Caenorhabditis elegans: one gene and its partner. The protein of the gene in region 2 interacts with the protein of the main gene of each other region in a pairwise test. Each region holds a gene or a part of one and is shown on either strand. Other genes may lie near its edges.

Region 1 (3,758 bases), on a different chromosome or scaffold from region 2:
ATCTGGAGTCAATGTGATACGATATCCAGTTGGCAGAAAAGTATTGAATCCAAGAACAAGTTCCGGTGAATCATATAAAAGTTCTGCTACTTGTTCAATCACATCAGGTGTTTCAATTCTGCAAAAAAGACAGATATTTGTTTTTTTTTTTGGATTTAAATAAAGCAAAATTTAATCCGCATCAAATGTGTCGGTTTTACGATATTTCGGAAGATAGCTTGAAATTTTTTGCCTTTTCAAGTAAATTATGTTATCTTATGTTTGAACAAAACAAATGTTTTTTTAAAGTTTTTTGTAAATCTAAGAATATTTGTTTTCCCGGAAAAACCAAAACAATTTTTTTTGATTTTCAACCTTCAAAAATAAAATTCAAATTTTCAGAATTACCTCTGAGCACGAAAATCCTTCATAATTTCCAAAAATCGATGATAAACGGGTACATCAGATGAGAAAGTACTTTTAATAACTCTCAGATAGGCGAGAGCTTCATCAACACGTGGTGGACCTTCTGGTTTCTTTCGACGACCTGGACGATTTTGTCGTCGGCCACCTTGTTGTTGACGAGGCTCACGTTGAGGACACCCTGCAGAAGTTGCTGGAACAACTGGAGGAACTGAAGGAACTTCATTAGAAATTGGTCCTTGTTGAGCAATTGGAAGGGCTAGTGGAGGAGTCTGAAAAATAGATTTATTGGTTTTCGGAATGAATTGTTAAATTGACGTAAATATAAAATTGTCAATTGCTATAAATTTTTTTAGTTCAGACATGCATTTCATTGATAAAATATCATCATCTAATATTTGAAAACAGTCTTAAACTTCAAATTTTTACACATTTTCTTCAAAAAACTTACGAAATGCTGAAAAACAAAAGTAATTCTGTTATTTTTTGAGCTCAATTGAGAAATATTAGGTTTGCGAATTTCGGGAAAGCAGAAATGAAGGACAAATTGTTTGGCGCTACAGTACTTTCTAACTTTTTAAAATATAATTTTCTATAAAGAAAGGTTCAGACCTTCCAATTTTCAGACATTTTTTAATTTTCAATCAAATAAATATTTACGGGAATATGCTGCTGATGCTGTACTTGTTGAACGGGAACCTGACGATGATGGGCCAGGATTTGTTGTGCCTGTTGAGTCGATGTGAGATTTTGAATATTCAAAGCTTGTTGCTGTGGAATCGGACGAATCAATGGAGATTGTTGTTGACTGTTGGCCCTTGGTACATTTGCAGCCTCTTCCTGTGCAATAAATTGTTCAATATTTCTTGCAGCTTCACTATTTCTAGCAAATGGGGTTATTGCCGGTGAATGAGATGGTAGTAGATATTGTTGCTGAAGAGCAGAAGCTGCTGGTGAATGTGATGGTTGAAGTGGAGAACCGATATGAAAAGGAATTGGAGAACCTTGAGCATTTTGTGCAAATTGTGCCTGAGCTGCTTGAACAGCAGCTTGTACTTGAAATAATCCTAAAGGATTAAATGGAAATTGATTGAGTCCTTGAAGAAGTTGATTTTGTTGTTGTTGATGTTGCATTCTTTGTTGTTCTATCAAAATACGCTCTTGATCACGTATTTGAAGTTCCAGTTGTTGTTGTTGTTGATTCTGATGCTGTTGTTGATGTTGTGATTGTTGAATCATTTGTAATAAAAACAACGTCGCATTATTTGTAGGTTGTTGTTGAGATTGATCTCCTCCATTGTTGCCACCGCCGCCTCCAGGTGGTGGATTGTACATTCTGAAAATCTAACTTTGGAAAGTTACCTTTAGTGAGAAGTTTTAGAAAATAGAGAAAAGAGACAAAAATAAGTTTCTTTATTGATTTGCTTTTTTAGCACATCCTTAAATTTCCAACGCTGTTTCAAGCTGAACGTTCAGTTTCAATTTTTTTAAAAATCAATCATTTGATTTTGTATTATTGAACTTAAAGTTTGAAAACCGTATATAGCTGAAAAATCGAAAGAAAATTTACTTAAATTCTTTTTCAAATGTTGAGAAAACTTTAGTCTTTGATTAAAATGAGACATTGTTACGAAACAGTAGAATTTTTGTTTTTCTAATGTTACAAAGTTTTCAAATTCGATAGGAATATTGTTAGTAAATGTTTGTATGATTAAAAAACGTTACACTTTGAAATTTTAACAAAAAAAAGAACATTTTGTTCGTAAATCCTGTGAAGTATTGAAAATGGCGCTCGTTTCTCTGCTGCCTCTCCTCTCTCGCTTTTGCCTTTCAGAGCGCGTTTGCATACAGCTTAAGAGACGCAGAGAATTTATTTTCCGGAAATATAATTTAACGAAGTACGCTGAATAACCTTTAAAAAGGTGGCGGAGCTCAAAAAATAATTTAAATATTACAATTTAGAGCCCAACAAATAAATAAAATTTTTATTTTCAACCCGTTCAAGATATATTATACATGAAATTATGAGGGAGTTCAATAAATATTCAAAAAATTGAATTTCAACTGCTTAAATAATTAATTACATTCCTATTTCTACAAACGGTGAGGCAGTTGATCGTGTCGATGTATCCGTCGGGATCACACGTGTGGGGATGATCGTCGAATAAAGCTGTTTTCCTCTTTTGTCAAAGAAATCGAGTCGAGCATTGTAATGTCCAAATTCTGCATATATTAAGCCGCCTTTACGGAATCCGAGCTGCGAAACTGGTGACCACGAGAACCATGATTTTTCCGGATAACTGAAAGTTTGTTGAAATTACTTTTTAATGCTTTCAATCTTCACTTGAACTTCAACGTATCCCTACTGAATTCTTTAATATGCTTCGTTGATGCATCTGCTCGAGAAGCTGCTCCAGACACAACATAGTTAATTATATGCTCTCCATACCCGGGAAAAGTGAAATGCTGAAACATTTATAAAGTAATTTGAATTAAAATTACTAAGGTAAACCTGCAACGAATGGTCGTGTCCTGAGAAGTAAGCATTCACATTAAATCGTTTTAAAAGTGGATCCAAACGTTGACGTAAACAGTCAGTTGGACCATGTGATGACATAGAATGAACAGGATAATGACCAGAAATTATTAGGTATTGGGCACTGAAAGAGGATTTTTAAAATAAATTTCCATTACCCAGAAGCGAAATCTTCCGATTTCTGGGCCAGGCATAAGATGCACGGTCTCGGCACGACTAAATTTTGTTGAATGCAAAAATGTGCGCCTTTTTTTTTAATCTTGAATATAACAATTTAAAAATAGATGAAAATTCCGCAACAAGAGTTAAAAATTACAGTACTTTAAAGGTGCATACCTGTTTTTATTTTACAAAAAGGTCGTGGCGAGGTCATTTTTTGAAAAAATCCAAAATTCCTAACCTGCTTGCTTCTAAGTTATTCTCCAACCATGCCCATTGTTCTTCAGCGGCAGTTATATTAACAGGACCACGTGGATCATGTGATTCATTACGTAACATTTCAATAAAACCAGCATTTTGAATATCCTTTGTATTTCCACATAAGGAAATTGTATCAATCATTAAAAAATCGATAGAAGTACCATTGAATTCTACTGATTTCTTATAGTAAAGTGATGGAAAATACCACTTTTTACTATGTTTTGTATATTCAATCTCGGCGGTCACATTTCCAAAATGATCATGATTTCCGGCTATTGTGAGCCATGGAACTTGTAGACTCGGATTCGTGTAGACATTTTCGAAACGTGACTGAAATATTTTAAATTTAGAGGGATTTACTAAAATTTTGGGTTAAAAAAAAGTACAAACCTCGAATCTT
Region 2 (3,758 bases):
AAATAGGGAATTTGAGATACAGTACTTGTGGGAAATTACATTGAAGATCTAGTTTAAACATTATGCTTCTTTTCTAAACTCCGCAAAACCTACAAGTTAATATAATTCGAATTACCTAGTATTCTACAGTTTCCATCTTCATCTATATTCTTAGATTTGGTTTCAAAACCTATTCATTGTTTTCTCTTCTTCTTTTTTTCATTCCAACTGTCAATCGGTTTGTCCCATCACCGTTTCAAAACCTTATTCGAAACGACACATTTGTCTCGGATCTCTTCAGAAGTTCTACACTCTATCTCTCTACCTCATTTTTTTCCGATAGATTTCACGCCAATAGTTGATTAGAAAGTTGAAGAAAAATATATTAATTCAATTTAATAGTTTTCCTGAACAAAATTATTTTCTTGCATCTATATTCCTTTCTATGTGTTGTACTTGTACGTGCACGCATTTTTTCCGAAAGAATGCATTAGGAATGCATGCCATGGCACTAAAATAGAAGGGAAAAGTGATGAGAGAAAGAGAGTATAGAGCACCTAGAAGAAAAAAAATGAAAAAGCTCAAGAAGACGACGACATCGTTCTTCTTGTGACACGCGATGGCGTTTTTTCTTCTATTTTCTTGGCGAATGGTCACACAATTTTTGAACAAATTATGGAGAAAGAAATTTTGAATAAATATACCCACCGACAAGGCGATCTCCGATATTTGGATCTTCCCATTCGTATTCACTACAGTGCTTCTCACATTCGTACAATACCAATGTCTTCAGTATGTAGTTTGTTACTGGTGTTCCCGGAAAGTCCATGTGAGCATCTCGAAGACATTTCAGAATGCTCAATGTCTTCCGCCGACCTCCAGTTAGTAACATGTTCTCTGCACCATGCATCTTCATTGCCCAGGCATCGGCTTCCATACTGCTCGCTTGCTTATTCGGATTATTTTGTTGAGTGATTGCAGTTTCACGACTCGTCAAGTCGAATCCCTCGGCTTTTGTCTGATTCGCCAACGCGGCGTTCGGCCATGGAAGTCCTGCAATTGGCCAATGACTCGCTGATCGAGGCCAGATTCCGTTGCATCGAAATGCACAAGTAATTTGAACGGTGTACTTGTCATCTACTCGAACTCTCACATCAGTGTTATCTTGTAGCAACTTACAGTAATCACTGCAATTAAAATATTTTCAGAATGTAGAAAAGTAAATTTGAATACCTGAATTGTGGAGTTTGTAAAACTTGAGCCACAATATTTTGGAATCGGTGGCGAATCTTGCGAGCTGATAAATATCCAGAAGCAGTAATGAACTCGACCCAAAGGGACATTGATCTTTTCCGACCATCACTTAGTTTGAGAACTGCACATCCTTGAATTGTTCCGTCGTCAACAAAATTGAAGACACCCATCTGGTTGAGGTATAGCACTGCCTCATACTCGGATGGAGAATGTACCACAATCTAAAAATGAAATTTATTACATTGACAGAAGAATCAAAACTTACTCCATCGAATCTTCCAGTTGTAGTTTCACTTAATGTATTAATGAATCGAGGTTCTTGTGCTTCAACTTCTTTCAATATTTCTTGTACCACTTTGGCGATTCTTTGTACTGTTTTTGTGACACGAACTTTACGATGTTGAACTTTTTCGTTGAAATAGTTATTCACCTAAACCAAAATAAAGATTATCGAAAAGATGAAGCATACTCACCTGATAAACAACGTTCTGGTTATGTCCTAGCATGTTGGACAAGCGGAAACCGGGAAAAAATGCACACAAACAGATATGCGTGTGTGTGTTCTTTTTTCGATGATGATGAAGATGATGGGCAGCTACGAAGAAAGAGGAGTCCTCAGGCAAAAAGTGGGCGGAGCCTAGGTGTAGATGGAGATAGTGGAGACGGAGAGAGAAGGAGAGTAGGGATGTACAGAGATTGTTTCAACCTGGGAACCTGGCGCCCACCACAAAGACCCACTGAACACGGAGAGTATATAAAATAGAGAGATAAAGATAACAAGGTGTGTCAATCATTACCCGCTCTGTATCTTTTGGTTCCCCTCTTTCTCATATCACACGCGTCTTATCATCACCTCCTGAAGGCCCACCTTATTACCGGGCTACGACCCTGAAGATGATGATGAGAATATTGATAAATGATAGATGATATTATGATGGCGGTGGTGTCTAGTGAAATCGAGATGGGAGCCAAGAAAAAAGGTACATTTCGATATTTTCTGGAAGGACTAGAAAATTATATTCTGGGCAATCTAAATGTGTGAGAATTTAGGTTATATATCCTTTTAATATTCAATGTATACCGTTGGTTATTATAAATTTTGAATAACCTCATCGACCAATTCTTCTGGTGTCTACCGTGTCTTTGGAGCAGTGCACTTGTCTTCGAGAATTGTTCAACAATTTTTTTTCAAATCGATCTTATACAACAAACCTATAGGGTCCTCCAAATGGGTCCCTAGTGACCTTTTGACAGTGCACATCCTACACGCATCACACTGATTACGTAAGCTGTCAAAGTTTGCATACCGGAAGAGATATAGATTGTTACTATGTGATAAGATTGCACCGTACAGATGAAAAGGAGATTTGCTTCTGTGCAAGAGATGGAGTAGTTTCGACTATTGCAAATGTGTAGAACGATGGGTTCAGAATAGTGAATAAAATTAGAGATAAAGTATGAAGGCTTTTTAAGGCTTTTTTCCAGGTGGTCTTCCTCTTTATTGTGGTCCGACATCTACAGGGTCCCCATGACCAAAGCTGGGTGCGGAACCCAGTAGATGTCGGGCTATGGTGAACAATAACGTTCTGTTTTTATTGTTTCCTACTACCGTACTTCGTAAACTTTCAAGGATTTCTTAATAAAATAGAAAAAAATTTAAAATACTATATCATTGGTGTCGAAAAATAAGTTAATACTTTCTTGGTGGAAAATTTTAATAGAAGGATAACTGCAGAAAATAAAGTTTTTTTTAATTAAGGAGGTGTCAAATATGACACGAAAAATAATTCTAACAGACCAATAGTAATCTCAATTTTCACCCCCATATGTCACCGGATTTCACTGAATCACCCAAATCGTTTATCCTCTATTTCCTCTATCCTTTTTCTCCCGTTTACCATCCATAATCGGTCCATTCATGCTACCAGCCACCTCCCCACATCATAATTATCTGTGTTCGTAAGTGACCGGGCACTCATCCGGGAGCTCAATCATTATTACATTATTGTTATTAATGGGAAGGAAAAGCGAGTGAAATCGGATATTAGGAGCCAGTGGGTCAGGGGAAAGTGATGTTGAAAACCCGAAAAAGGATTACGGTAGCTAGATTGAAATATATTGTATTTTCAGGTTCTTCGATATTGTGAAGCTCTACATGCCAGGTGGAATCTTCAAGAAATTCGAGCAATTTTCCTTCGACGATATCTTCTTCAGAACACTGCGTTGGAATTATTCCTTGCGTCAAGAAGTTTGTTTTCAGCTCAATATATTCAAATTTTCATTAATTTTTTTTTCCATTTTCAGCTGCCATCATGTTTGCTTTTGATTCAGAAGATGCTGTAAAGAAAGTAGTTTATCAATTGCCAAGAGTTGGAGTTGGTAAGTGTCTCTAGAAGCTTTTCATGTGCAATTTACCCACTTTCAGGAGTCAAATATGGACTTCCACAATCTCGAAAAACTTCACTTATGACACCACGCCAACTCTTCAAACATTCGGATATGTGTGCTAAATGGCAAAAACGTGA

What was found.
Region 1: the proteins of mab-21 (region 2) and sin-3 interact in a two-hybrid assay, tested with the Caenorhabditis elegans proteins (one study listed by BioGRID).

What each region holds. Positions count from the first base shown.
Region 1 is NC_003279.8:8,414,811-8,418,568, reverse strand, and holds the start of sin-3 (Paired amphipathic helix protein sin-3), read right to left. Parts: upstream 1,739-3,758; 5' UTR 1,738-1,738; coding exon 1,063-1,737; intron 675-1,062; coding exon 388-674; intron 119-387; coding exon 1-118. Other genes in the region: F02E9.7 (Tartrate-resistant acid phosphatase type 5), read right to left, coding at 2,483-2,702, 2,747-2,868, 2,915-3,062, 3,339-3,688, 3,749-3,758. UniProt on the Caenorhabditis elegans protein: Probable transcriptional repressor required for the deposition of dimethylated 'Lys-9' of histone H3 (H3K9me2) on asynapsed chromosome pairs (both autosomes and sex chromosomes) during meiosis, but this does not seem to solely affect the transcriptional status.
Region 2 is NC_003281.10:4,598,801-4,602,558, reverse strand, and holds the start of mab-21 (Protein male abnormal 21), read right to left. Parts: upstream 1,823-3,758; 5' UTR 1,740-1,822; coding exon 1,707-1,739; intron 1,664-1,706; coding exon 1,499-1,663; intron 1,455-1,498; coding exon 1,213-1,454; intron 1,167-1,212; coding exon 688-1,166; intron 1-687. Other genes in the region: sel-2 (Putative neurobeachin homolog), read left to right, coding at 3,364-3,481, 3,538-3,612, 3,659-3,758. UniProt on the Caenorhabditis elegans protein: Acts in a cell autonomous fashion to specify the properties of the sensory ray and non-autonomously in the choice of hypodermal versus neuroblast cell fate.